7 linked regions of the Oryctolagus cuniculus genome follow. The protein of the gene in region 1 purifies or fractionates together with the protein of each later gene. This does not show direct contact. Links are inferred from orthologs where the notes say so. Each region holds a gene or a part of one and is shown in the gene's direction. Other genes may lie near its edges. The genes, in order: PPP2R2D, PPME1, SERTAD4, PPP2R1B, PPP2CB, CDCA4 and PPP2R1A.

What was found.
Region 2: the proteins of PPP2R2D (region 1) and PPME1 purify together in Homo sapiens (affinity purification with mass spectrometry; 4 studies listed by BioGRID and IntAct, counting the BioPlex papers as one, with this or other methods). This does not show direct contact. The link is inferred for Oryctolagus cuniculus from reciprocal best matches to the Homo sapiens genes PPP2R2D and PPME1.
Region 3: the proteins of PPP2R2D (region 1) and SERTAD4 purify together in Homo sapiens (affinity purification with mass spectrometry; 3 studies listed by BioGRID and IntAct, counting the BioPlex papers as one, with this or other methods). This does not show direct contact. The link is inferred for Oryctolagus cuniculus from reciprocal best matches to the Homo sapiens genes PPP2R2D and SERTAD4.
Region 4: the proteins of PPP2R2D (region 1) and PPP2R1B purify together in Homo sapiens (affinity purification with mass spectrometry; 4 studies listed by BioGRID and IntAct, counting the BioPlex papers as one, with this or other methods). This does not show direct contact. The link is inferred for Oryctolagus cuniculus from reciprocal best matches to the Homo sapiens genes PPP2R2D and PPP2R1B.
Region 5: the proteins of PPP2R2D (region 1) and PPP2CB purify together in Homo sapiens (affinity purification with mass spectrometry; 6 studies listed by BioGRID and IntAct, counting the BioPlex papers as one, with this or other methods). This does not show direct contact. The link is inferred for Oryctolagus cuniculus from reciprocal best matches to the Homo sapiens genes PPP2R2D and PPP2CB.
Region 6: the proteins of PPP2R2D (region 1) and CDCA4 purify together in Homo sapiens (affinity purification with mass spectrometry; 3 studies listed by BioGRID and IntAct, counting the BioPlex papers as one, with this or other methods). This does not show direct contact. The link is inferred for Oryctolagus cuniculus from reciprocal best matches to the Homo sapiens genes PPP2R2D and CDCA4.
Region 7: the proteins of PPP2R2D (region 1) and PPP2R1A purify together in Homo sapiens (affinity purification with mass spectrometry; 9 studies listed by BioGRID and IntAct, counting the BioPlex papers as one, with this or other methods). This does not show direct contact. The link is inferred for Oryctolagus cuniculus from reciprocal best matches to the Homo sapiens genes PPP2R2D and PPP2R1A.

The regions. Positions count from the first base shown.
Region 1 is NC_091446.1:1,029,650-1,033,149, reverse strand, and holds part of PPP2R2D (serine/threonine-protein phosphatase 2A 55 kDa regulatory subunit B delta isoform), read left to right. Parts: intron 1-103; coding exon 104-281; intron 282-2,156; coding exon 2,157-2,321; intron 2,322-3,500. UniProt on the Homo sapiens protein: Substrate-recognition subunit of protein phosphatase 2A (PP2A) that plays a key role in cell cycle by controlling mitosis entry and exit. Involved in chromosome clustering during late mitosis by mediating dephosphorylation of MKI67.
Region 2 is NC_091432.1:65,501,875-65,505,374, forward strand, and holds part of PPME1 (protein phosphatase methylesterase 1), read left to right. Parts: exon of another isoform or gene 1-858; coding exon 859-923; intron 924-1,517; coding exon 1,518-1,585; intron 1,586-3,387; coding exon 3,388-3,406; 3' UTR 3,407-3,500. UniProt on the Homo sapiens protein: Demethylates proteins that have been reversibly carboxymethylated. Demethylates PPP2CB (in vitro) and PPP2CA. Binding to PPP2CA displaces the manganese ion and inactivates the enzyme.
Region 3 is NC_091444.1:25,080,555-25,084,599, forward strand, and holds the start of SERTAD4 (SERTA domain-containing protein 4), read left to right. Parts: upstream 1-1,245; 5' UTR 1,246-1,385; intron 1,386-4,045.
Region 4 is NC_091432.1:103,722,085-103,726,278, reverse strand, and holds the start of PPP2R1B (serine/threonine-protein phosphatase 2A 65 kDa regulatory subunit A beta isoform), read left to right. Parts: upstream 1-1,394; 5' UTR 1,395-1,438; coding exon 1,439-1,552; intron 1,553-2,333; coding exon 2,334-2,424; intron 2,425-2,836; coding exon 2,837-2,937; intron 2,938-4,194. Other genes in the region: alpha-1,2-mannosyltransferase ALG9, read left to right, coding at 889-1,078. UniProt on the Homo sapiens protein: The PR65 subunit of protein phosphatase 2A serves as a scaffolding molecule to coordinate the assembly of the catalytic subunit and a variable regulatory B subunit.
Region 5 is NC_091433.1:80,852,010-80,856,027, reverse strand, and holds the start of PPP2CB (serine/threonine-protein phosphatase 2A catalytic subunit beta isoform), read left to right. Parts: upstream 1-1,218; 5' UTR 1,219-1,221; coding exon 1,222-1,323; intron 1,324-1,981; exon of another isoform or gene 1,982-1,996; coding exon of another isoform or gene 1,997-2,035; intron 2,036-4,018.
Region 6 is NC_091451.1:47,066,231-47,070,522, reverse strand, and holds the start of CDCA4 (cell division cycle-associated protein 4), read left to right. Parts: upstream 1-1,492; 5' UTR 1,493-1,649; intron 1,650-1,810; exon of another isoform or gene 1,811-1,924; intron 1,925-1,936; exon of another isoform or gene 1,937-2,071; intron 2,072-2,193; 5' UTR 2,194-2,241; coding exon 2,242-2,262; intron 2,263-4,292. UniProt on the Homo sapiens protein: May participate in the regulation of cell proliferation through the E2F/RB pathway. May be involved in molecular regulation of hematopoietic stem cells and progenitor cell lineage commitment and differentiation.
Region 7 is NC_091449.1:6,415,854-6,419,822, forward strand, and holds the start of PPP2R1A (serine/threonine-protein phosphatase 2A 65 kDa regulatory subunit A alpha isoform), read left to right. Parts: upstream 1-1,169; 5' UTR 1,170-1,177; coding exon 1,178-1,264; intron 1,265-1,806; coding exon 1,807-1,908; intron 1,909-3,888; exon of another isoform or gene 3,889-3,969. UniProt on the Homo sapiens protein: The PR65 subunit of protein phosphatase 2A serves as a scaffolding molecule to coordinate the assembly of the catalytic subunit and a variable regulatory B subunit.

The DNA.
Region 1 (3,500 bases):
GACTGGGCGTGTGCTCTGCACGACACCAGCTCTCGGCCGTGAAGGTCTGTCCCAGTCCCTGCTATGTGGTCGTCATTTCAATTCCTGTGCCTTCCGTTTACAGGTCCCCATCTTGAAGCCCATGGACCTTATGGTGGAAGCCAGCCCGCGGCGGATCTTTGCGAATGCTCACACGTATCACATCAATTCCATTTCAGTGAACAGTGACCACGAGACGTATCTCTCTGCAGATGACCTGCGAATTAACCTGTGGCACCTGGAAATCACGGACAGAAGTTTCAGTATCCTTCCCCGCACATCCCATGCCTGCTTCTTTCTTTCTTTTTTTAAGATTTACTTATTTATTTGAAAGTCAGAGTTACACCAAGAGAGAAGGAGAGGCAGGGCCGGGGGTCTTCCACCCGCTGGTTCACTCCCCAGATTGCGCCAGTCTGAAGGCAGGAGCCAGGAGCTCCCTCCAGGTCTCCCACACGGGTGCAGGGGCCCAAGAACAAGGGCCATCTTCCACTGCTTTCCCAGACCGCTATAGCAGAGAGCTGGATCGGAAGTGGAGCAGCCAGGACTTGAGCTGGCGCCCATACAGGATGCCACACTGCAGGCAGCGGCTCTACCCGCTGTGGCACAGCGCTGGCCCCTGCTTCTCAGTCTCACCGCACGCTGCACACTGCTTAGAGCCAGTGCTGTAAGTTCCCCGTGAGATAAAGCACTTTTCCCTGAGAACACGGCGTTGTTCTGCCTTTGGGGGAGGTTCTCAGTGTGCTGGGAATGACCCGAAGGCCGTGGCCCGCGTGGCTCCGCCAGTGGCAGTGTTGACCAGGCTGTGTTGCGTGTTTTTTCTTCTACATTGCTGACAGATCATGAAATGGCGGAAGCTTAGACGAGGGTGACGAGGGTGGCATTTCACTCCCTGCCTGGGAGCAGTGTGGCGTGGGGCTTGCGCTGCCTCCGGGCAGTCAGTCGTCAGCCGTGGCCTCGTGCCCTCCGTCGCCTGTCCGGCTGCTGCGCCCGGGGCCATGTGGATTCTGGGCAGAGCCCCAGCCCTGCTCACACATGCTCTGGAGACTCGGCCTCCTGCCCGTGCTGCCCCGCACTGAGGTCACGGGCCTGGCTGGGCAGCTCCTCACGCTGAGCCCTGCAGCCTTCCCGGAACCTGCTGCCTCCTCTCGGACTCGCTGGGCCCCTCGTGGGCTCCCCCCGCCCCGTGGCCCGCACGTGCCCCAGCCAGCAGGCCGGGCAGACAGGGCTCACTGTGCATCTCTCCCTGCCCGCTGTCGGTGTCGGTGACTTCCCCTGGACAGCCGCGGGCTAGTCTCTCCGGCACAGCTGCAGCGGGCGGCCAGGCTGACCCATCGTGGAATCCTGACTTCCCTCTTGTCTCAGTTGACTGGTTTCTACGTGGACGTGGCTCCAAGTATTCAGAGCAAGCTCTCCATGTCAGATAATCAGATTCTCTGTGGCAGTATTGGGTGTGTATTGGGTGTGTGTAGCGTGCGTCTGTTACTTTTTCTTGGTGGTTAAACACACGCTGAGAACAGCAGAGAGGTGGTCCCTGCATGGCCCTCCGTGCTCCGTCGTCTGTTAGCGGGCTCACGCCTGCCCCCCTCTGTCCCGTCCCTGCATGGCCCTCCGTGCTCCGTCGTCTGTTAGCGGGCTCACGCCTGCCCCCCTCTGTCCCGTCCCTGCATGGCCCTCCGTGCTCCGTCGTCTGTTAGCGGGCTCACGCCTGCCCTCTGTCCCGTCCCTGCCATGACCCTCCGTGCTCCGTCGTCTGTTAGCGGGCTCACGCCTGCCCCCCTCTGTCCCGTCCCTGCATGGCCCTCCGTGCTCCGTCGTCTGTTAGTGGGCTCACGCCTGCCCCCCTCTGTCCCGTCCCTGCATGGCCCTCCGTGCTCCGTCGTCTGTTAGCGGGCTCACGCCTGCCCTCTGTCCCGTCCCTGCATGACCCTCCGTGCTCCGTCGTCTGTTAGCGGGCTCACACCTGCCCTCTGTCCCGTCCCTGCATGGCCCTCCGTGCTCCGTCGTCTGTTAGCGGGCTCACGCCTGCCCTCTGTCTGGTGGCTGCTTTGCTCTGAGCCTTCCACCTCCCTGTGTGGTGACGTGTTCCCTGTTGAGGGCAAACTTGGCGCTGAGCCCTGAGCCTTAACGCTGCTCCGCAGACATCGTGGACATCAAGCCCGCGAACATGGAGGAGCTGACGGAGGTCATCACGGCGGCCGAGTTCCACCCGCACCAGTGCAACGTGCTCGTCTACAGCAGCAGCAAGGGCACCGTGCGGCTGTGCGACATGCGCTCGTCCGCCCTGTGCGACAGGCACGCCAAATGTGAGTGTCCCGCGGCCACCAGACAGGCGGCTCCCTGGGGCCCACACGGCAGGCTCCCGGCGGGCAGTGCTGTCTCCCTCGGAGCACTAGCGCCTGGGCCGGGCTGCGAGAGCGCGTCTCACCAGTGAGCTCTGCTGGACCTGGAGCCAGGTCCCTGAGGTCTGGCGTTCGAATGCGTGCAGTCATGAGAAGAACGGTGGTGGCTTTGTTCTTACTTGGCCCGACTCTGTGGAAAACCACAGTCTGCCATGGTGTTTGGAGACAGGCGTCCTGGAAACCTTGCTGGTCCTCCCCCAGGCCGGGCAGGAGCAGGTGCAGCTGCGCCCGCGGAGCAGAGCGCACTCACCAGCCCCAGAGCCGCCAGGCAGCGCCTGTGGGACCTCTGTCAGCTGCAGCCTCAGGCACCCTTGCTCATCCTCACCCATTGACTCTAGCTGTTGACAGCTTTCTGCCTCGCTCTCTTCCTCAGACTAAGTGTGTTAAGGATTCGGCACCCCTGGGGAGAGTGTGTGGCACGGTGGTTTAAGCCATCCCTTGGGAAGCCTGCATCCCACATTGGAGTGCCTGCAGCCAGGCCCCAGCTCTGCTTCCAGTCCAGCTTCCTGCTAATGCAGACGCCCGGAGGCAGCAGTGAGGCCCCAAGTGCGGGGTCTCTGCCCCCCACCCACAAGGGAGACTGGTCCTGGCTTCAGCCTGGCCCAGCCCCAGCTAGTCTTGGGCATTTGGGAAGCAAACCTGCGAACAGAAGCTGTCTCTGTCTTCCTCTCTGCCTTTCAAATAAATAAAAGTAAACTTAAAAGGGGGCGTTCTGTGCTCCTGTGCCTGCTACAGGGGCCTGCGGCGCAGAAACCCTGTCCCATGGCACTTGGGGAGGGGCCGTGTCCTCTGATGCCTGCCCGTGTCTTCATGGTGGCACCTAGAGCAGTTTCCTGTTCCTGAAAGTAAAGCTTTGTTTTTGATTGGAAAGACAGCTAGAGATCTGCCATCTGCTGATCCACTCAGATGCTGCAACAGCCGGGGCCGGGCCAGGCTGAAGCTGGGAGCCCAGAACTCCCATCTGCGTCCGTGTGTGACTGACAGGGCCCACCTGCTGTCTCCCAGGGTGTGCCCTGCAGGAAGTCGGGTTGGACTGGAACGCACTCCGACAAGGCGCATGGCGTGCCGAGCGCTGTCCTAGCC
Region 2 (3,500 bases), on another chromosome or scaffold:
GCTGAGAAATTTCATGAGATGGTCCTGGCTTAGCTCTCCAGCCTCACCATTAAGTAACCACCTGCCCAAGCAGCATGCTCAGCTGCTTTTAATTCCAGCAGTAAATACCATCCCAGTGCTGCTCTCTTCTGTGTTAGGCCATTTTTTCTATGGAGGAAGCCTTCTGGCTTCCTACTGGATTGTGAAGCTCTTTCCCTCTGCTCTTGCAACCCTACCCAGTTTTATCACAGGAATTACATGCTGCATGAAAATGTTGGTTTTGTGTCTTACTCCCTTCTGGTCTGTTAATTCCTTGAGGATCAGAGGATTTGTCTTCTATGTGTCTTTTTTTTTTTTTAAAGGGTTTATTTATTTGAAAGAGGGAGAGTGAGTGCGAGTGAGCAAGCCTACATCTGCTGGTTCACTCCCTAGATGGCCACAAAGGCCAGGTGCTAGGAGATTTACCTGGGTCTCCTATGTGGGTGGCAGGGGCCCAGGTACTTGGGTCATCTTGTGCTGCCTTCCCAAGGTCATTATCAGGGAGCTGGATTGGAAGTGGCGCAGCTGGGACAAGACCCAGTGCCCACAGGCATCACAAGTGCTTGCTTTACTGGCTATGCCACAACACCAGGCTCTTCTGTGTTTCTTACCCCAAGGTCACTGTACACTAAGTAGGCACAAAAGGAAAAGTGAAGGGAAATGATTGAGGGTTACAGTGTTACCATCTTCATCAAAGAGGCGGTAGGTAATCAGTATGGAGTTGGGGCTGGGGTTGAAATGGGGCCATCTTGGGCTCCTGGAGTGACCTGAGAGGCTGCAGAGGTAGTAAGGGAGGGCGGTATGAGTGCCTGAGGTTGCCTGGCTTTATTTCCTCTCCAGGGAAGTTCCAGATGCAGGTCCTGCCCCAGTGTGGCCATGCAGTCCATGAGGATGCCCCTGACAAGGTGAGTTTGGTGCTTCACGACAGGACAACTGTGAGAGCGACTTTGGATGGCCCAGGAGATAGGACAAGCCTCTGAGTATTAGCCTGGGATGCCTGCAGCTGCAGGGAAATCCAGGCACCTGCAGCCACCAGCTTCCCAAACATGGCTCTAGCAGCTGCCTGTGGGCTTGACTTTGTGGGTGGGGCTGAGGACCTGTTGTGTCCTTTGCATTTCCTCTCAGGGCCCTATGATTGAGATCTTAAGCTGTGTTGCTCCCAAAAGCCAGGTGGAAGAAGGGATGGTTGAGGGTAGAAACTGTTCCCTAACCTAGTCACAAATAGGAATGAACATGAACTACTCCTGTGGGAAAAAGGAGCTTCATAACTCAAAGGGGATAAATAAGTCCCATTCCTCTTGAGCTTGCTGGCATTCCCTGAAGGATGATGGGAGTTTGCTAGCCCTGCCAGGACCCAGGTCCTTTTGGTTTCAAGCTACCCAGACTTGTGGGACTCAGGAGGGCATTACATAGCTTAATTTTCCAACAGAAGCTCTCAAGACTCCAAGGGTAAGCACCATCACAAACCTTCATATGGCCCGGAATCTCTCCCTTTTCAGGTAGCTGAAGCTGTTGCCACTTTCTTGATCCGGCACAGGTTCGCAGAGCCCATCGGAGGGTTCCAGTGGTAAGTACAAGGGTGTAAGATCTCCATGAGCGCTGCCCAACCCAACAAACAGATATTTGCCTCACAAAGCCCTGCCTATGTGGGTCACCTTCCTCTTCCTCCACAGAGAGGCTGGCATGTGTATTTCGGCAAAGCTGTGCTTAGTTACTTCTCTGTGCTCTGGTCCTGTGGGTTGTTGCTAAGGTGCGATTTCATCATGCCTGGTCTCCCAGCCCCTCACCGCGATGTGCATTTCTTCTTGAGGTACCCCCTTTTCGAGGAGGCTGAGATGGGAATCAGCCTCTGTGCCTTCTGCCCTGCTGCTGAGCAAGGCTGGCTGGACCCAGAGATCCCACAGGACCCTAGAGCAGCTTTCTCAGCCTCAGCATGGCCGCCGTTTTGAGATGGGTTGTTGTTTTGCTATCGGGGCCTCTTCTGCACATGGTAGGATGTTCAGCAGTGTCCCTGTTCTCTACCCATTCGATAGCAGCAGCACCTTCCACACATGGTTCTGCAAACCACAGCTGTCTCCAGGCAGGCAAAGCTGCTCCCAGTTAAGAACCACTGGTCTGCAGAAGCAGGGAGTGCAGGCCTCTCCCCCTAGGAAGCTCTTCAGCTGCTTAGGGAGACACAGTTGGGCTCTGTGTTAACCCAGCAGGTTCTTGCCCCCCCTCAAGCCTACTTGTCTGTGCTGAGGAAGGCCCTGGGTCCTCAAAGTCCACGGTCTGATGAGTCACATCTGCCATTTGAAATCCTTCTGATTTTCAGAGTTCAGGGGAACCTGTTCCCTCCTTCAGAAAGTTTGAACAAGAACTCTGAATGCCGTGAGTTGGAGGCGAGAGTGACAACAGGATAAGAGCTTGGAGCTGTGAGCCATAGGAATGACACCCTCATGTTGAACCATTCCTCTAGCAGCTAACCATTGATGGGGCCCACAGTCAGCAAAGACGACTTAGTTTCTCTTTTTAAAATTTTTACTTATTTGAAATTCAACCTAGTAAAAATAGATACAGAGATCTCCCATTTGCTGATTCATTCCCCAAATGCCTACAATAGCTGAAGCTGGGCCAGGCTGAAGTCAAGAGCTGGGAACTCCAACTGGGTCTCCCACATGGGTGACAGGGACTGCAAGTACTCCACCTAGCACCTCTTGTCTCCCAATGCATGCATTAACAGGAAGCTGGAATTAGGAGAGAGCTGGGACTTGAACCCAGGTACTGTGATACGGGATGCACATATCTCAAATAACATCCTTTTTGGGGAGGATTGATTTATTTGAAAGGCAGAGTTAGATGGATAGAGAGATCTTTCATTCTCTGGTTCCACTCCCCCAATGGCTGCAATGGCCAGGACTGGGCCGGACCAAAGTCAAGGAGCCTGGTATTCCATCTGGGTCTCCCATGTTGGTGGAAGGAGTCTCAAGTATTTGGGCCATCCTCCATTGCAGTCCCAGGTGTGTTAGCAGGGAGCTGCATCAGAAGTGGAGCAGCTGGGACTCAAACCAGTGTTCTTATGGGATATGGGCATTGCAGGCAGTGGCTTAACCTACTGTACCACAAAGCCTTCCCCTCAAATAGCACCTTAAACACTACAACCCTCTCCTAATACCCTCCCCTAATTTCTTTTAAACAGTGTTAGAGGTCTCTGGGCTATTTGGAACATGCACTCAGAGTAGAAATTTGGTCCCAGATGGGCCTGTGAGGAGGTGGGACAGATCTTCAGGGGCCTTGGTGGTCATTAGGGAGGGTTGGCCAAAGGAGCCTGGGGAAGCAGGGGAAAGCTGGTGATTGGTTACATTTTCATCCCTCTCTTGCTCTTCACAGTGTGTTTCCTGGCTGTTAGTGACCTGCTCACCACCCCTCCCTCAGCATCGAGCTCTGTTGTAAATACATCGCACCAGAGGCCACTGTGATGCCGCTGTCTCCTCACCATCCTG
Region 3 (4,045 bases), on another chromosome or scaffold:
TACAATTCTAGGAAATAAACATGCAAATCAGATAGAGTTCAATTTGCAGATGCTAATCCTCACCCTTGATCTTGCTCCTTTCCTCCCTGATTTTCAGGCTCTGCGCCTCCTTGGTTCCTGGGGAGCCAGGCAGCCAGAGGTTTGTCTTTCCACAGTCGGAGGATCACTGTTTTAAAGAAGTGTTATATTTAGCACATCTGGCGGAGTGCAGTAAACAAACATTACAGCCTCTGTAACACGTTCCTGCAGGTGCCTCCCCTCGGTTTTATTAGGTTTCTGCCTTCCAAGCCTCTGCGTTCATTACACCTGAAATGACCCATCTCGTCTACGGAGCGGTCCCCAGGCAGAAGTTACCAATTCATGTTTCCAACAACAAACTCCGATGGAGCCCAGCACAGGGGGAAATTGCCGTGAGCGAAAGAATGGGATTCTGGGGCTGCAGTTACGTTCTCCTGACCAAGGACAACCTCCTTTATTACTTTCTTTTTATTTCCTGGGGGTTTTCCCCGCGGCTCCCCACGCAGAATGAGTTGCCAATGCAAGCTGCAGCAGGACCTAGGCTGCTTTTTTTATACCTACAGATGCAGCCCAGGAGGGGAGCGGCGGAGCGGGAGGCGAAGGGAGCACACCGCTGGGTCCTGCACGGACATCTGTTTCTCATCTCGGTTTGCTGTGGCAAAGGAGAAGAAAGTCTTTTGCAAAGGGTGGGAAAAGCACAGATTTTTTTTTTTTTTCAAGTCGCACGCACACACAATAACAGCCACGAAACTAAACCAAATAAAGACAGACACGACGTCTCGGAAGGTTGCGGCGCGAATCCACGGCTCTGCTGGAGCCGAGCCCCCGGGGCCAGGGCGGGAGCCCGGGAGCGCGTGGGGTCCGGGCTGCGGGCTGGAGCAGGGCCCGCGTGTCCCCGGGCAGCGCGAGGGGAGGGGCGGGGAGGGGCGGCGGAGGGCGGGCGGGAAGCCGGGAAGGAGGCAGGGGCGGGCTGGGGTGGGGGTGAGGGGAAGGCGCCCCGTGTGCTTCCTGAGGAGCGGCGGCGGCGAAGGAGGAGGGAGCGCGGGCGCTTGTCATGTTCCCTCTCTCGCCCCGGGGGCATCCTGCACAGCCTCTCCTCGGAAATCCACGGGGAAATGGCAAACAGGATTGACGGGTTTCACGCGCTCCTAGCTAGACACAGCCGCTCATTACCATAACCGTCTGCAGCGACGGCGGCGCAGCGCCCCAGCCGCGGCGGGGACCTGCCGGGACCCTCGCCCGCCGCGCACCAGCGGCCACCGCCGACCGGGCCGCCGGGCCGGGACCCGCGCCTCTGTGCACCGGCGGCCGCGCTGGCGCCAAGCCCGGAGCGGACCAGCGGCCGCCGCCTCCCCGCTGACCCCGCGGTAAGAGCCGGGCTGAGCGCGGGCCGCGGGGGCGGAGGGCCGGGCGGCTCGGAGGGCGAGGGCAGGTGCCCAGGGGCTCCTGCCCGCGCGCCCCCGCCACCCTGGGGCTGCGCCGGGGCCACCGGGTGGCCTCGCGGCGGGCCGGAGCGGGACCCGGGCGCGGCGTGGGGGCCGGGGCACAGCTGCGCGCGGAGGCGGCGCGGGCTTTTCCCGGGGTTGGCGTGCGCCGCGGCGCCTCTCCCAGGGCGGGAACCGCCGCCGCCGCCTCCGGGGCTGCTAGCTCCGGCTGCCGCCCCCGAGCACGGAGCGGACCCCAGGGGCAGGTGCGGCCAGCAGCTCGCGGGGGGAGACCTGCGCTGGGTCTCTCCTCCTAGGGGACCGAGGTCCGCAGGAGGGAGGTCCCCAGATCTGGACGCCGCGGCGCACGGCAGGTGGGGAGGGAGGGGTTGTGGATGTCAGGAGCGCGCGTTTGCGAGAAAAAAGAATCGCTGCGGGAGCTGACACCTTCTGTCCCCCGCCACCTCCGCCCCCGCGCCCTCCTCCCAGGCAGCCGAGCCGCGCTGCGGGCGGCGGCGGCTCCTCTGTCCTCAGCTCACCTCCCCGGCGGGCTGGGGCTGCTGCCCGCCGGGTCCACGCCTCCGCCTCTCTCCCCCCTTCCTTCCCTCCCGCCTCCTGGGTCCCAGCAACTTTCCCGAATGCCCAGCTGCGGCCGCACCAGCGGGGCCGAGGCGGCCTCGGACCGCTGGGAGGTGCGCGCTCCGGGCGCTCGGCGGCCGCGGCTCCGGGTGGGATGGGCCGGCGAGGAGGGAGGCCGGGCCGGCATCTGCTGCGGGCTGGAGCGCGGGGCCCGGGCCAGCCTCGCCAGAGCCCTGCCAACCGCCGTGAGTCACTTCCTTGGAATCCTACCTTTGGTGTTTATTTCCCTTAGAAGGAAACTTGGTTTAAGAAAAAAAAAAAAAAAAAAAGAAGAGGGAGACGAAAAGAAAGAATAATAATAGCTCTTATTCTGCAGGAGAGGCGCAGGGCTCTGGCACCGTGGAAAGACAACTTGCCTTTGTTCCTAGACACTTGGGGTGCTGGTGACTTTCACCCGCTGCCGGGCTCAGCTCGCGAGCTGGGGCAGGGGCTCGGGGCTGCGGCGCTCGCCTCCGGGGGCTGGGGCTGTGTCCGAGCACGAGCCTGGACGCCGTAGCCGCTGCCCGCCTGCAGGGGATGGACCTTCCAAACCCAGGACCCTGACCTTGGGCCTCTGCTGGGAAAAGTCGGGGGCCAAGCCAAGCCTCGGACACCCCGACACCTCTCAGTGCTCCCTGGGTTCCAGCATAGCCTTCCCAACTCCACCGCCCAACCTGAAGCCCTCGGCCTCGCGGGGCTGGGGCAGAGAAATGCGCTTCCCAGGGCAGACAGGTGTACCGCAGGGACTGGCAGGAAAGCGACATCTGTCTGTTTAGAAGGGTTCAAGGCTGTCACTCCACCCACCGGCCCCTTCCAACACCGCCACGAGCCAGACAAGCTGTTGAGATTTTGTTAGGGACAATGTGGAGGTCAGGGGGCTGGTTCCACCTGGCACACGTGTGAGACTGCTGTGCTGGCAGCCGCAGCCCAGCAGCTCCCCTGGGCTCCTGGGCTCCAGCCAGTGCTCTCTAACTGCTGTGATGCGCTTCAGAAATGCTGCCTGTTCTCCGAAGTCACAGGAGAGGAGAGAGGTGTGGGCACAAAGCGGCCAGAAGGGCCCCCCACCCCACCCCGTTAGAGTCCAGAGGCCACTAGCTCAGGGCTGCCCTGGCCAGTGTGCCAGCCGCTCCTGTTAGCACCACAGTGGCACCAAAGAACTGACAAGCCCAACTCTTCCGGAAGAACCAATGTGTATAGAAATGCCTGGTGACTTTGCTGTGAACGTTTGCTGGAAGAACTTGACATTTTAGCCCCCAGTCTCCTGGGGATGTTTGAGAGGTCGTTCATTCCACAACATCCACTCGGGTGACAGAACAGACTCCCAAGCACCTGCTGGTAATTCTAAGCACAGACAAAACACACTTTGAACATCCTCCATTTGGATCTGCCTGCCTCTGCCGGTAAAGAAACAAATGTTGCCACCATCTATACCCCTGGGGCTGTACTTAATTGTTATCAGCACATGGAAATTTTAAAAATTAACAGCACATAAATTTGTGGTCTTGAACTTCTGAATTCAGCAGCAGAATTATAATGTAAATCTCATACAGGGAGTAATGCCAGTTTGGATTCCTCCATGTGTTACAGATAAAAATTCCCATGAAACAATGGTGCTTAGTACTGCACAGTCCAGCTTTTCATGAGCGTTAAACTTCCCTTCTTAATTTGTTAACATCCTGGTGTAAATTCTAAATAGACCAGGAAGACTCAATTGCAAAATCTCCTCCCCATTCTCCAGTAATCCCAACTCATTCATGTTTTATTCAGATTTACATAAATCACTGGCAGAACGCAGCCTCCCCAGTTTAGGATGTTGCGTGTAACCGGTTTCCAATTCAAAAAAAGGAAACCTTACCAAAATTAGATATTGTAAACAAAAGAAACAGGATAAAAACTATTATGTCACATTTCAAGTTCAAATGCATAATGATAGAATTTCATATGCTGGGGAACAAGACTAACACATACCAACTCTGGAGTCCCGG
Region 4 (4,194 bases), on another chromosome or scaffold:
CAACATTTGTCTCCAAAATCGCATTTCTTTTTTTTTCTTTTTTCTTTTTTTGACAGGCAGAGTGGACAGTGAGAGAGAGAGACAAAGAGAAAGGTCTCCCTTTGCCGTTGGTTCACCCTCCAATGGCCGCCGCGGCCTGCGCGCTGCGGCCAGCGCACCGCGCTGATCCGATGGCAGGAGCCAGGTGCTTCTCCTGGTCTCCCATGGGGTGCAGGGCCCAAGCACTTGGGCCATCCTCCACTGCACTCCCTGGCCACAGCAGAGAGCTGGCCTGGAAGAGGGGCAACCGGGACAGAATCCGGCACCCCGACCGGGACTAGAACCCGGTGTGCCGGCGCTGCAAGGTGGAGGATTTGCCTAGTGAGCCGCGGTGCCGGCTCAAAATCGTATTTATTAATAAGACAGAAAAATATCAGAGCTTGTAGTCCTCCTATGTAGTTATTACTTGAATTCCAGTCAAAAGCAGGGACAGGACATCTAGGTATTCTGTGTTGCCCTAACACGGGTAAATGAAAACCTTCCCTTGAATTTCTGCAGGGAAAAACTCCCAGACCCCCACGTTCCCCCAGGGCCGCCTTTGAGGACACTCGGGTCTGGGGAGGCCACGTCAGGCTGTCTTGCAAGGAGCACAGGAGCCACTCCACGCAGTTTGCAAGGATTAGAGCTTGTCCTAGTTTTGCTTGATTGTTGTACTTCTTGCATGCTAAAGAGCTAAAAAATGGGAGGAAGAAAATACAACAGAAGGCACCATTCCAGTACCAAACTGAAAAGAAACATAAAAACAAGAGAGCAGCATGTTTTTAACAGCTTGCGTGGAAAAAATATTGACTGGGGAGTTTGGACAGCACTGTTCATTTTCTCTCGCCGCCCGCGTTATTTGTCTTACAGAGTAGGAGCCAGATACAACTCTGGCGAGCAGGCTCAAGAAGAGGTGGAGGGGTTCTGTGGAAGCTTGATCCTGAGTGCAGAGATGAAGCCTGGAGACCCAGTGGCTCAGGGCCAGGATGAAGGCAGGGGAGGCGCTAAAACCTTCTTCCTCCTGGCCTCGGACACCCTTTTTGGCCGGCCTGAGTCCTAATAGAGCACAACACTGATCGCTCACGGAGGTACCTGCCTCCTTCAGACCACAACGAGCAGGATGAATCCCTGCCCCTGTTTCTTTCGGCTGAGGAAAGGACACTGGGCTTCCGTTCGCTTTCACAGCCCACCTTTCTTCTGGAGTTCGGACCTCCGCCTCCTGCAATGGGGGTCGGGCGGGAGCCTCCATCGGCGGGGCAGAGGCTCGGTGCTCCCACCTCCGCGGAGCCCGCGCCGAGGCCTCAGCCCCGCCCGCCCGGGCGCGGGGCGGGGCTCGGGGCGTGGCGCGGGGCGTGGCGCGGGCGCGGGGCGGGGCGCGGGGCGGGGGCTGGCGGCGGCGACCATCCGGAGGAGAAAGAACATGGCGGGCGCGGCGGGGCCCGGTACCGGCCCGGGGGCTGCGGGCGGAGATGGAGACGATTCGCTATATCCGATCGCGGTTTTAATCGACGAACTCCGCAACGAGGACGTGCAGGTACCGGACTGGGGCGGGGAGAGCCGTGGCGGGTTGGTCCGGCGTCGCTCAGGGTAGGGAAGGGGGAAGCCCGGAGCCGCTGTGAGGGAGGCCGGGAGGTTGAAAGAGCCGGACGCGGAGCAGAAACTCGAAGGGGAAGCTGGAAAGACTCGCGAGGGGCTGTGGCGCCGAGCCCCGGCCCACCGCGGGGCCTCTCCAGCACCCCTCCGTCGGGCTTCCGACCGTCCCGGGCTGTTGTCGGAAAGCCGGCTTCCCGCCTGGGCGCCCCGTTGCGGGCCCAGCGTGCGAGCCCTCGGGAGGGGCGCAGGGCCGGGCCGCGTGGGAGCTGGGCGGCCTGCGGGTCGCAGGATGCCAGAGGGCCCTTTGAGGTGCAGCCCAGCCTCTTCCCCTGGGCCTGGAAACTGGCTGGGCCTGTTGGGTAGAAAGCGGGTGGCCTGGCTGAGGAACCTAAGTGAGGCGGTGTGTCTGCTTCGGTGTAGGTTGTATTCAGCCGTCTCACCTGCTTCGTCGCTGCCGGAGTTCTGGCTTTTTAACATTGTCCCGCTTGCTGAGTATTTTCTTTCATTCCTTTCTCTTCGGGCCCTTGTAGAGAGTTTGGCCTAGGAATCCTCCCTCTGGCTAATAAGGCTGTGTTACATTACTGTTCCTTACCAATGAAGTGTAAATGAAAGATTATCCTTATTCCTAGACCTGTTAGTTAGTTCACCTGTTTGCTCCTGTTGCCTTTTGGTCTACATTGCAATCATTTTTTATTTTGTTCTTTCCATTTTCTCCTGTAAAGCTCCGACTCAACAGTATTAAGAAGTTATCAACAATTGCTCTAGCACTTGGAGTAGAAAGGACAAGAACTGAACTGCTGCCATTCCTTACAGGTGTGTGAGTCTGTGTTTCAAGAAAGGCACGGACATTTCCATTTACCAATGGCTTTCAGAGCTTTGGCTGTTTTTCAGAGTTTGTTGTCCACAGTATCAAAAAGCACCAAATTGAGGCTGGTATTTTCTGTGCAAAAGAAATTCAACAACACATATGGTAATGTTGTGGCCAGATACGTACAAACATTAACTGTGTATAGCTAATGGGGAAGTCACTGATATGAAGGTATGAATTTCTAGTTCATTCTGTAAATCAGATCCAGGAAAACTGTTCATTGAGGAGAAAATACTGTTAGGATTGGGACTGGATGTTTTTACTATTTACATATTGAATCTATTGCTAGTTTTATGTGAGTGTCCAGCTCTTGGCCAGTTACCTTGTTGGTGAGTACCTGGTTGTTGTCCTTTTCAGATACAATTTATGATGAAGATGAGGTACTGTTAGCTCTTGCTGAGCAGTTGGGAAATTTCACTGGCCTGGTGGGAGGTCCAGACTTTGCCCACTGTCTGCTGGTGAGTATTTCTATGCTGCCTACCCTCCTTCTAGAACCTTTGCAGTATAAATGATACATTGTTTGGTGATAGGCATAACAGCAGTATATTTTAGGCAGCTCATTTTATGGATAGATGCTCATAGTGTTAGCCATTGAGAGAATATATAATGTAAGCACTTTGGATTCAACCCTGTCTTATTATTTTCTATGAATAGAAGTTCTTTATTTTTCTGCCTCCATAGACTTACTAATTTAAAGAGAAAAAAGATTTGGTTATTTTTATGGGTCCCCTCCCCCCCAGTAAAATTGGAAGTCTTGTTTTTCATCCAGCAATATTTTGTCTTTATAGTGTAACTTTTGCTTCTGACTTACACTGTGATTTTGGTCAGTTGACATTTATTGAGGGCCTGCTATATGAGGCATATTGTAAGTTACAATGTTAATGTCAAAGAAAGCCAAACAAATGTAATGAGATCTTTGTTTTTGGTCACAAATATTAGGGTACAATCTTCAATGGGGAAACATAAGCACATTTAAGATACCCAAATAAGAGAGGAGAAAAGAATTAAGGTGATTAGGGGAGACTTCTTAACAGTTGATGTCTGAACTGTTTTAAGAAATGATTGGGTTACAAAGGGAGTAGGGCAGCGTGTGCAGTGGTTTAAACCACCAGCTGTGATATCAGCTAGGATCCCATATGAGCAAGTGCTGTTTCAAGTCCCATCCAGCTCCTTGCTAGTGTGCCTGGCAAAGCAGTGAATGATGGCCCAAGCACTTGAACCCCTGCTGCTCACATCGAAGACCCTGAGGGAGATCCAGGCTCCTGGCTTCTGCCTGACCCAGCCCCAGCCATTGGGAGAGAGTGAACCAGCAGGTGTAAGATCTAGATCTCCACCTCGATCTCTGTCTACCTTTTGAATAAATAAAATAAGTCTTAAAAAGACTAGGATTTCAACAGTTGGACAAGACAGATATGATATATGATACATGTTTCAGGACTTTACTGTCTGATGCTTACTCTTTCTGTCTACTTCTGAACTTTATGGAACCCCACAAGTTGACAGATATGGATTTAGATATATACTGTACCTAGTTATCACTGAAAGTGTGTATCTTTCTGTAATGTTCCTATTTAGATGTCAAACAGGTATTTGAATTTTTTAAGATATATTTATTTGAAAGGCAGAGTTACATAGAAGAGAGAAAGACTTAGAGAGACAGAGATCTTCTACCTGCTGGTTCACTCCCCAAATGATTGCAATGGCTGGAGCTGGGC
Region 5 (4,018 bases), on another chromosome or scaffold:
TGGAAGATCTCTCTCTACCTTTCCAACTTTTTCAAAATAAATAAATGCTTTTTAATAATTCAGTTCAAAATGCTCCCATTCTAAAGCTCTTTGAAAGTGTTCCCCAGGACAGTAAAAACAACAGACACATGGCTCCCATGGTGTACCACGGGACAGGCACTTTCAACCTCTGACTCTCAGAGCCTGAGAAGGGAAGCTGATGCTTGAGGAGGTGTGGCGACTGCCAGGTCAGGAACACTTGCCCTCTCACCCAGGATGCCGCCTCCCTCTGGGGTTCCGCCCAGCACTGCGAATCTCTAAGGGAAGAAGTGTGGGTGGTTAGCATGTGCCGGACAAGGTGCCTGGCCAGCAGCCGGCAGCCGGCACCAAGAGCGTGTTGACCAAATCATTACACCTCGGTAAACACTGCTGGAGCTGGAAACGACCCAGACGATCGCACAAAACAATCATTTCATCTTCCCGATATTGCAAGCGAGCGTTCGAGACACCCGGCTAGAAGAAATTTATTCTGTAAATAATTGAATGCCTGCTTCGGAAGAGTGCCTGACGCTGGGGAGAATAAAATTCCTTGTCCAGAGCGGCGGAAACGCACTGCGGGAGCTTAAGGTGAACACGAAGTTGCCCTAGGACAAGATGTTGGGGAAGAAATCAGGGGAGCCAAGACCAGGCTGGGAGGAAAAGACCAGAGAAAGCAAGAGGACCGGACAGGCGCCCCCGACCCCGGGTCCCCAGGGCCGTTTCTCCGCCGAGCCACGCGAGGGCGCTGCTCCGCTCCTCGCCGGCCGTGCCCCGGCGGCGCCGCCCGCTCGCCTCTTCCCGGCGGAAATGCCCGGGCGATGACGGAAACCCTCAGGGAGGGGAGAGAAAGGGCGAGAGGGTAGGGGCTACGGAGCCGGGAGAGGGCGGCGGGCGGCGGCAGCGGTCGCGGGCGGCCATCGCCCGGCGGGAGCTGCGTCCAGAGCGTCCTCGCCGCGCTCCCCCACCCCCCCCCCGACCCCGACCCTTCCGCTTCCCCCACAGACTCCCTGGGCGGGGACGGACGCGGGGTGCCCTCGGGGAGCCGCCCGCTGGACTTGAGCCGGGTGCGGGGCCCGCGGCCACCCTCCCCAGCTCCTTCCTGTCCCGCTCGGGGCTTGGCGGCGGCGGCGGCGGCGGGTGAGGGGAGCGGCGCCCGGGGCGGGGGCGGGGGCGGGGGCGGGTGGGGGAGGGGAGCGGGCCGCCATGGACGACAAGACGTTCACCAAGGAGCTGGACCAGTGGGTCGAGCAGCTGAACGAGTGTAAGCAGCTCAACGAGAACCAAGTGCGGACGCTGTGCGAGAAGGTGAGGGCCGGCCGGGGAGGAACGCGGGGCGCTGGGCGGCGGCGGCGGCTCCCCTGCCCGGCCTGGCCGCGGCTCCGCGCCGGCCCCCGACGCCGCAGTCGGCTCGGGGCAGTGCCCGCGCCCCCGCGCTGCCGACTCGGGTGTCCGCCGGGAACGGGCGTGACGGCCCGAGAGGGACCCGACCCCGCGTCGTCGGGGTCGGCCAACTTGCTCCCGCGCGCCGGAGCGGTGGGCGTGATGGCAGACGGTGGCTTTTTTAAAATAGAGGTGCGCGCAGATGGCGCCCCGCACGGCGCGCGTGGATTGGCGGCACCCGCGCCGCGAGGCCGGAGCTCGGGGACAGTTCGTGGAAAATGCCTATAAGGATTAAAGACTGCTCGTGGATTTAAAAATCGGTTTTTTACACCAAAAAAAAAAAATTTCTTAAAGTCCCGTCCTGTGAGTTGTCATGCAGGGTGGCACTTTTCAGAAAGTTGTTTCCAGTCCCCAAACGGGGGTAAACCCTGCAGGCAGTGCATTGTTGTCAGGTGTCTGGTCTTAGCTTTCTGAATTCGGAAGCCATTGTTTTGTGAACCCGTGGAATTCTCACCTGTGCAGGTGGTGTACTTGAGAGCCTCCAGTTGTTCTTCATTCATCATTTGCGCTGTGGACTAATTAGTTTTCATGTATTCGTATGTTGGAAAGTCCCCTTGGAAGTCCACGAGGTACTGGAGTAAGGAGGTTATTTTAGGTTATTTTCTTAAATGTGTTTGAAAGCCCGCATACCTCAGAAAAGCACTGAGGAAGTAATTTTTTAAGCCTTATTAGTAGGGCACTTTTAAAAAAAAGACAGATTTATTTATTTGAAAGGCAAAGTTACAGAGAGGAAGAGAGAGATCTCTCATCTGCTGGTTCACTCGCCAAATGGTGGGGGCCCTGCCCGAGCCAGGAGCCGCCTCCAGGTTTCCCACGCTGGTGCATATTAGCAAGGAGCTGGATCAGAAGTGGAGCAGCCAGGACTCAACCAGCCTCAGTCATCAAGTAAAGATGTCACCCGTTACATCACAGCACAGGCCCCAGTAGGGCACTTTTTAAATTATGCAACTAAAGGATGGAGGGGTAGCCACTGTTTTTAACAAGTGCCCAGGGAGCTTACATATTGAATAACTACATGTTATTATTTCTGCAGATAAAAGTGAATTTGAATTTATTTCTGCAGATAGAAGTGCCACAGAAATGGTATATTTCTCTTCCTGAAGCAAACTGCTTGCTTGTACCTTCATTCCACATTTGTGTGTGTGTGTGTGTGTGTGTGTGAAAACCTGTGATTTCATGGGTCTTACAATTTACGCTTTACTAAACTCTCAAGCTCCAGCATCAAGTTTGAGTAATTAGCTGAATTGGTTAACCTCCCTGTGAACGTCAGATACAGACTTGAAGTTATGACTAAAGTGGTAGTTGAATCAGTTTTTCTTTTTGACTTTCTAATAATTTTAATTTCCTAGAGGAGACTATTTTACCAGTACATTGATAATTGCACTCAAATCTTAAATCATGCCAGGAAACTGTGTATTTATCGAGAGATTATTTTTACTTCACCTCCTAAATAAGTTGAACTACCTAGGATCTTACAGCTATAGTTTACTTACGCGTTGACCTGTTCTATCTTTGATTGTAGTTATCCACAAAATGTGAAGCTCAAGTGAAGATCGCCTTGCATTTGTGTTTGTGCTCTGTGCACTTTGATAGAGTTGCCAGTGGAGCAGAGTGCCAGTAGTTCAGCAGCTCTCAGTGTAGCCGCCTTGTTCTGGCAACTATGGCTTACTTTTGTGGCATATGTGGTGCCTCCGTATCTGTGCTGGATTGGTCCAGGTCCTATAAGAATACCAAAAGTCCCCATGCTCAAGTCCCTTTTATAAAATGTGCAGTGTTTGCATGTAATGTACATACCTCCTCTTGTGTATATATATATATATATATATATTTTTTTTTTTTTTGACAGAGTTAGAGAGAGAAAGGTCTTCCTTCCGTTGGTTCACTCCCTAAATGGCTGCTACGGCCGGCACTGCGCCGATCCAAAGCCAGGAGCCAGGAGCTTCTTCCTGGTCTCCCACGCGGGTGCAGGCGCCCAAGCACTTGGGCCATCCTCCACTGCCCTCCCGGGCCACAGCAGAGAGCTGGACTGGAAGAGGAACAACCGGGACTAGAACCCGGCGCCCATATTGGATGCTGGTGCCGCAGGTGGAGGATTAGCCAAGTGAGCCACGGCGCTGGTCCCTCTTGTATATTTTTAATCATCTCTAAGTTGTAACACCTGATATGAAAATATTATGTAAATGGTTTTTATACTGTGTTTTTAGAGAATAAGAAATAGAATGTCTGTGTTCAGTACAGAGGCAGTTTTTCCCCCATATCATAATTTCTGGTTGGTTGAATCTGAGGATATATCTCTATGGATATAGAGTACCAACTAGGTACTAACCTAGGGTCTACCTGTAGTCCTTAGTTCTGGTTTTATATCCCTACCTCATGCTTGTTGTTAATAACAGGTGTAGCGTTCCACCCGTCTGGATTCAAATTGTGCTCCACTTGCTAGCTGCCCATCTGGCACCTTTGACTTCTTACCTGCCAGGCAGGGATCATATTCACTGATCTCTTGAACTGATTATATTAAGATGGTGCCCGTGTGTGGGGCCGACATTGAGACATAGAGGGT
Region 6 (4,292 bases), on another chromosome or scaffold:
GGGGCTCTGCGTTAGACCTGGAGAGAGGGACCTCACGTCAGCAGCGCGGGAGCTGGGAAGCCAGCTGGACGCTGACGCGGGCTCCCCGCCGTCCCTCCGCCCTGCCCAGTCCACTAGCACCAGGCCTTTCCCCGGATGGAGCCCACGAGGTGCCCTCCGCTCCGCTGTCACGCAAGCACCACCGCGCGGCCACCAGGGGGCAGCACCGCCAAGCCAGAGTCAGGTCAGCAGGTGGGCCAGGCGCCGTATTTTTTGAAATTTTATTATTTGGGGGCGGGCGCCTGGCGCAGTAGGTTAATCCTCCAAATGCGGCGCCGGCATCCCATATGGGCGCCGGTTCGAGTCCCAGCTGCTCCTCTTCCAATCCGGCTCTCTGCTGTGGCCTGAGAGAGCAGTGGAAGATGACCCAAGTCCTTGGGCCCCTGCACCCGCGTGGGAGGCCCAGGGAAGCTCCTGGCTCCTGGCCTCGGATCGGCCCAGCTCCAGCCGTTGCGGCCATCTGGGGAGTGAACCAGTGGATGGAGGACCTTTCTCTGTCTCTCCCTCTCACCGTCTGTAACTCTACCTCTCAAATACATAAAATCTTATAAGTTTTTATCTATTTGTAATTCGGAGAGGCAGGCCTCCCATCCGCTGGTTCAAGAAGGCCACAGCGGCCGGGCCGAGCCAGGCGCCTCTTGCGGGTCTCCGGCGCGGCGGCGGCCCCGCTCCTGGGGCTTCCTCGGCTGCTTTCCAGGCGCTCTGCCGTGGGTGCCGGGGTCGCGAAGAGAGAATGTGGGGAGATGCGGACGGCGCCCCGGAGAGCGGGATCACGGGAGACGGCGGGGCGGGCCCACGCCCTCGGCGCCCCGGTACCCATGCGGCCCCGACACCGGGGACAGGACCCAGAGGCCCAGAGCCCGGCTGCGCGGCCCGGAGGAGGCCGCCCCCCACGCCCCGACTGTCCCAGCTCCAGCGGAGCGGCCGCCCAGGTGCACGGCGCCGCTTCGCCTCCCGGAGCCGGGGGTGGGCGACCCAGGCCCACACGCACGGGGCGCGGAAGCCGCGGGCCCGAGGCCGCCGCCAGCCGCCGCGCCCCGGCCCCCAGGTCATGCATTTGGCTCCCAGGCCCGAGGGCCCGAGCCCTTGGGCATCGCCGAAGGACCAGCCCGGGCGGGGGCGCCCCGGGAGCTGCACCTGCAGGGCACGGACGCGGAAGCCTCACAGCCCCGCCCGCCCCCTGGAAATCCCCAGCGCAGGCGCACTCAGGGACGCGCGCGAGGAGACTTGGGAGTCAGGGGCGTGGCCAGGCGCGAGGACCCCGCCCTCTGGGAGCCTGGGGGCGGGGCCGGGCCCGAGGAATCCTGGGAGCCGCTCACGGCATCTGGCGGGAGGGGCGGGGCCGCCGAGGGCACGTGAGGCGCCCAACGGCCGCCGCCGCCGCGCGGGAACGGGCGCAGCCTGGCCCCGCCCCAAGCAGGTTTGAACCCGAGGCTCCGCCCCCGTGCTCGGCCAATCGGCGAGGGCGGCGCGCGGCGGCCGCCATGGCGACCCTTTGTGGGCGCTGAGTGGCGCCGCGCCGCGCCCCGCCCCGCCCCGCCCCGCGCCGGCCGGGCCCTCCCTCGTCGGCGGGACGCGGCGGTGGCGGCGCGGGCTCGGTCCCCGCGCAGGTGAGCGTCCGGAGCGGGCTGGGGGGGCGGCCGGGTGCAGCCGGCGCGGGCGCTGCGGGAGGGCGCGGGGCGCGGCCAGGCCGCCCGGCTTCGAGCGGGGAGGCCCGGCCGGCGCGGGCGGGCGGGCGGGCGCCGGGGGCGCAGGCCTTTGTCCCCGGAAGGGCCGGCGGCGTCGGGCCGGGGTCACGTGCTGGGCGGGGCGGCCCGGCCGGCTTGGGGCCGCGGCTTCTCGGCGGCCGGCTTCCGCCCGTGGGTCCTCGGCGCGTGTCGGGCCGGTGAGCCGGGCGTCCTGCGGGGCCCTGGCCGGGTGCGGGAGGGCGCTGTCCCCGCGGGCCGCGGCGCTTCGTCCGCGCTCAGGGAGAGGTGGGCCTCGCTCTGCGGGGCGCGGCGGACCGGTGCGGCCCCGGGCTCGCTCTTTGCAGGTGGGGTTGGGGGTCGGTGTCCGGGGTCGGCCCGCACCTGCGGGGGCGCTGCAGGACGGGGGGCGGGGTGGAGCTGGGGGCAGCCTTTGCCTCGAGTTCCTAAAAATGTCCTTTCTCCGCAGGACAGCCGGGCAGGGAGGAGAGCGGGGCGGCGTGGACGCGGGGCCAGCATGGAGCTGCCGGCGGGGACGGTGAGCTTGGCCGCGGGCGGCCCGGGAGCTGGGGGCGCGGGCGGAGAGGCCCCTCCGTGTGCTGGGCGCCGGGCCTGGGACAAAGGCCCGAAGCTGGGAGTTCGTCCAGTGCCGGCCGCCGGGCCGGGGTTTCCGGAAGTCACTGGGTGGTCGCGGCCAGCAGGTCCGCCTGGGGCAGCCGCGGCCCTGTCCAGAGCTCCGTCCTCTGCGCGTGTGCCTGTGTGTGCGTGTATGTGAGGGACGTGTGCCTGCGTGGGACCTGTGCGTGTGCCGGGGAGCTGCGTGTGTGCGGGGGGCGTGTGTTTGTGTGAGGGACGTGTGCGTGTGTGTGAGTGCAGGGGACCTGTGTGTGCAAGAGATGTGTGTCTGTGCATGTGTGTGAGGGACATGTGTGTGTGTGTGAGGGACGTGTGCCTGCGTGTGTGTGAGAGGGACCTGTGCCTGTGTGTGTGCGTGCGGGGGGACTGTGGGGGGGCATGTGCCTGCGTGTGTGTGTGTGTGTGTGTGTGTGTGAGAGAGAGAGAGAGAGAGGGACGTGTGCCTGTGGGGGGGGGCGTGTGCCTCTGTGTGTGTGTCTGTGTGTGTATGAGGGACGTGTGCCTGCGTGTGTGTGTGTGCGTGCGGGGGGACTGTGTGTGCAAGAGATGTGTGTCCATGTGTGAGGGACATGTGTGTGTGTGTGAGGGACATGTGCCTGCGTGTGTGTGAGAGGGACCTGTGCCTGTGTGTGTGTGCGTGTGCAGGGGTCTGTGTGTGTATGAGGGACCTGTGCCTGTGTGTGTGTGTGTGTGTGTGCGTGTGCGGGGGACGTGTGCCTGCGTGTGTGTGTGCGCCTGTGCCTCCCGGTGCGGTGAGCGGCGCCTGGTTCCCAGGAGGCTGCGTCTGGCCCCAGGCCCGTGGGAAGCAGGCTGTGGCGGGGGTCAGGTGCCCAGCGCGCCCCTGCCGGGCCTCGGTTGTGTTCTCTTTCCTCTGGCGAGCGGCCCCCACCGGACAGACGGCCTGCGGTACAGGGGTTTGGCCGTGCCGAGTCGGCGTTTTAGCTCCGGTGGGGGGTCAGCACAGGGAACCCAGCCCGGGGCCTCCGATGCTCGCCGTACTTGGCGGTTTTAAGCCATTGACTTGTAGGTTTATTTATTTATTTGGAGGCAGAGTGGGAGGGAGGGAGGGAGGTCTAGCATCCAGATGGCTGCGACAGCCAGGGCCGGGCCGTCCTCTGCTGCTGTCCCAGGCCGTTAGCAGGGAGCTGGGTCAGGAGTGGAGCAGCCGGACCCTTCCCCGACGTGCCGGCCCTGCAGGCTGTGGCCCGAGCCAGGACTCTGGACGTGGGGTTGTGTTCGGGGCAGCAGGGGTGACTGGGTCTCCACTTTCTGCTGGCGAGGCAGGGAGGCCGCAGCAGCAGGAAGCTGGACTGCACACAGAGCTGAGACTCGAACCCAGGGCCCCGTTAGGGTGTGGCCTCTTGGCCACTGATCTCCTTGTGTGTTTCGGTGTTGATGGCTTCCGTTTCGAGACAGTGGGGGAGCGGCCGTGAGCAGGTGCCGTGGTGGGGGGAGCGCCTGCCTGCTGTCCCGGGGGAGTAGGCCGTGGTCCCACACTCCCACCGTTGTGCTGTGACGTGTGTGGACACACAGGCAGCTGCGGAGTGCTGGGCCGTCCTGGCTCTTGTACCCAGAGCCCACATCTGGTGAGGTCGCGGTTTGGCCTGCGTCCTGGCGGCTGCACCGGCGTCAGACGGGTGCTGGAACTCCTGGACCAGCGGCAGCTCGAGCCCCTCCCCTAGAGGCCACAGCTTTCCTCCAGGGTGTGGCTCCGCCCCCTGAGCATGGCCCCTCCCACAGGGAATGCTCGGGGCCCTTCACCTGGCCACTTCCTGTGATGAGTGTTGAAGTGTGCAGGGTGCTTGGGAGGACGGGACCTCTGTTGTCGGGTGCACCCTCGGGGGCTCCTGAGAGGGGTGTTGGTGGCGCCGGTTCTGCCCTGCACACCTCTGAGGAGGGACCGCCCTCATGCTCCTGCTCCCCCGGGGCTCC
Region 7 (3,969 bases), on another chromosome or scaffold:
GGGCTGCTGAAATGGGCCCAGTAACTAGTCGGCTGTGATTAAGGCGGCGGTGACCGCGGTCTCATTTTCCCTTTCGGCCTCAGTTCCCGCCTTGGTAAAGCTGTGCGGGTTTCCTTGCACGAGGAAGCCTGCCGAGCTCCGTGGGTTGCAGGTGCTGGTGGCACCGGGCTGTGATTGTAGTCCCGGCCCTTGCACTCCTCACTGATGGAGATGGGCAAGTGAGTCCATCTCCGCAAGCCTTCGAGTGGGGCTGCTGTCTGGTCCACGTAGTGCTGATGTAGAATGCGTTTGACAGACACCTGCTGTGTCTCGGGGTGGTGCTGGGGGGGTAGCGGTAGTTCGGGTTGCTGTGCGGGAGACAGAACTCAGTGTCCGATGTTATTAACACGTGTAGGCAGTGTGGAAATAAAACAAGGGGCTGTGATTGTGAATCAGTAAGTATCTGGGGGGAGTCTGGGCGCTGGTGTGCAGCAGTCAACACACAGATAACAACTTCTGGCTTTGTTGACGCCCTAGTGAGGGAGACAATAAACCCCATGTTAAGTAAAACTTAACCCCGGACGGGGACGCCGCTTTAGAGAGGTCCGGGGAAGCCTTGCCAAGGAGCTGAGGTTTGGCAGACACCGGTGGAGACCAGGGAAGGAGCACAGCACGGGCAGAGTGGGGTGGGGATGCGTGGTAAGGAGGCCTGCAGGGAGGGTACAGACTGTTTTTGTTAAAAAGATTTATGTGTTTGAAAGGCAGTTAGAGAGCTTTTCCCTCTGCTGGTTCACTCTCCAGAGAGCTGCAGTGGTCAGGGCTGGGCCAGGCCAAAGCTGAGAGCCAAGAATTCTATCCATTCTCCCACGTGGGTGCAGGGACCCATCTGGGCCTTCTTCCTCTGCTTTCCCAGGCGCGTTAGCAGGGAGCCGGCTCGGAAGTGGAGCAGCTGGGACTTCCTCGGTGCTTACTTGGGCTGCTGGCATTCCAGGTGGTGCCCTGCTGCGCCACTGCGCTGGCCAGCTGAGGATGCAGATTTTGAGCGAAGGTGCTTCCAGAAAGAGAGGGGACACACGGGGGCTGTAGTTGTTAACTTAGGCGATTTTGCTCACCAGAAGACATTCGGCAACATCTGGCGAGGTTTCTGGTTGGGGTAACTAGAGGGTTGTTTCTGGTGTCTTGTAGGTGGAGGTCAGGTATGCAGCTGAACATCTTGCAGTGCCACAGGCAGAGACCTACCCTGTGGAGCTCACTCGCTTGTGCAGGCAGAGAGAAAGAGCAGATGGTGAGGAGTGCCGTGGAGACAAGTAAAACAGGGTGGGGTGGGGAGGCCTGGCCAGCGTGGCTGTGATCCGGGCTTCGCTGGAGTGGCTGAGCAAGCCTTGCGGAGGAGGTGAGATTTGAGTAGAGGGATGCAGGGAAGTAGCAGGCCCGTGGATACCTAGGGATAGCATTCCAGGCGGAGGAAATGAGTACAAAGGTCCTGGGCTGGTTTTGATGCTGGGAAATAAAGTTGAAGAGGAAGTGAAGTCCAGCCTTTGGAAGGACCTTGTCGGCCTCCGTTTAAGCCAGGGATTGGCTAACAGCCACCTGTGCCCTTTCCTGCTTTTCTAAATAGAGTGGTTGCTGTCTGTAAACTGAGATACGCCCATTCAGTTGTAGGTTGTCTGTGGCTGCTTTTTCTGTGCCGAAACCACCCAGTAGAGGAGTTGTTAGCAGATGGCCTGGTTCCCAGAGCCAAAGTACTTTGGTCCCTTGTAGGTAAGAACCGGCAACCCCTGACTACAGCTTCCCTGGTATCAGATTAGGGTGCTTGCTCTGCCCCAGGTGCTGGACAGACATCGGGCCTCAGTGTTTACGTGCTTGCTGACTTACATGCTGCTCTTACCGCCCTTCGGAGCAGGCCTTGTGCTTATCTACATCGCACAGGTGAGGAAGCCTGAGCTCAGGAACCAGAAGTAACACAGCTGCAGCCCTGCAGCTGAAAGGAAGTAGCTAGGACCAGAAGGCAGAACAGAACTTGGGGTGGGCCAGCGCCGTGCGGGCGGCATCCAGATGCTGGTGGGTCTGTGTCTTTAGTGAGACAGTTCAGGGTGCTGGAAAGCCTGGAGCCTTGATTCGCTTGTTCAGCAAGTATCCATCCAGCACCTTCTCTGTGGGGACCATGCGTTAGAGACCGGAAGTACAGCAGGGGGCAGACCTGCAAAGCTGCTCCTCTTGTGGGTTTCCATTCCAGGGAGGGGGACAGAAATAAATCTGTAATGTGATGTCAGTCGCAGTCGTCGCTAAGAAGGAAAGAGAGGCAGAGACGGGGACCGAGTGAGCGGAGCCTGCTGCACTGGATGGGGAGGTTAGGGAAGGCTGCCCGGAGGACACCTGCGAGCAAGGGCTGGAGTGAGGTGAAGGACGGACAGCACAGTGGCCGTCCCAGCCAAGGGGACTGTTGCTGCGAAGGCTGTGAGTGGACGTGACGAGGCCAGTGTGGCTGAAGCAGAGTGAATGGCCAGGCGGTGGGAAGTGAGGCCTAGGCTGGGAGGCCTGTGGTTCTGGATGGGGGTGAGGGTGGGGAGGGCACTGCAAGGCCTTACTAGGGGAACGTCCAGTGACCGATTCTGAAGGAGTCCTGTGACCGTGGGGTAGGAGCAGCAGGGCTGGTGCTAGCCGTGGGTGGAGCCAGGCTGTGTCAGGGAGGGCAGAGCCAGTTCGGTGTGATGCAGTGGGCGAGGTAGAGTTGAGGGGGACAGGTCGGAGCCCCAGTTGGCTCCCTGAGTGCCCTCGCAGCGGTACCTTTCCGTTTTGGGGCCCAGCCCCCAGCCTGCATCTGCCTGGTTGTGGAGGTGCAATGAAGCCGGCTGCCTCAGAGTGGGTGTTCAGTACTGGTGACCCCATTCCGTCGTCCCGATGGCTCACAGTTGGATCTTGGAAAAGTGAGGGAAGACGGTGGTGGTGGTGACATGAGTTCAGCCACAGAGTCACCGGATCCCCTAGTCCACTCCTCCCCCAAACCAGTGAGATGCACAGGCCTAACCGCGCTGTCCGGGGTGCTCGGGGCACCGTGCTTCTTGAAATGTGGTCAGCTGTTCAGAGGGCGGGTTTCAGAGTCACTCTCCACGCCTAGGGAAGACAGGGAGGAGTAATTTAGCAGCTGCTGGGGTGGTGAGGACAGGGCTGGTGCACGTACCGTGTTTACAGCTGCATGTACTCCGAGCCGTGGGGAGGTGGTGATGGAGTACAGGAGGCTTCTGACTGGTGTGCATGGCGTGTTTTACGCTGTTTCTTGGGTGTGTAGGGCAGAGGTTCTCAGCGTGGGGTGACGTCCCCCGGGGGGTTCAGCAGGCTCTCTGCTGTGAGGAGAGCCACTGACTTCCGTGGGTGAGGTCCTGGACATGCAGCACCCTGCAGTGCGCAGAGTCCCCAGCGCGAAGTGGCCCAGACGTCGGTAGTGCCGGGACTGAGACCCTGCTGTGGGCTGCGGAGTGTGCCGAGCGCTTTGTGTTGATTGAATCCTCACAAACGCTGTCTTAGATAGGTACGAATCTATTTCCATCAACATTTTTTTAGAAGATGTGTTTGTTTGAAAGGCAGAGTTACAGAGAGGAAAGAGAGGTGTTCCGGCTGCTGGTTCACCTCCCAAATGACTGCAGTGGCCAGGGCTGGGCCGAGCTGAAGGGAGGAGCCCAGCACCCCATTGGGCCTCTGCATGGGGGGCAGGGACTAAGCCCTTGGGCCGTCTTGCACTGCTTTCCCAGTGCATCAGCGGGAGCTGCAGGTGGGAGGGAACCGGTGCTTGCAGGCGGTGGCCAACTCTAAGGATGCTGGCCCCATTACCATCTTTACTTGTCAGATTTCAGACAAAAGTAGAGAAAATAGTGTCTGACACCCAGACTTAGCAATTTTTTCAAGATTTTTTTTTTTTTTTTTTTTTTTTTTTTTTGACAGGCAGAGTGGACAGTGAGAGAGAGAGACAGAGAGAGAAAGGTCTTCCTTTGC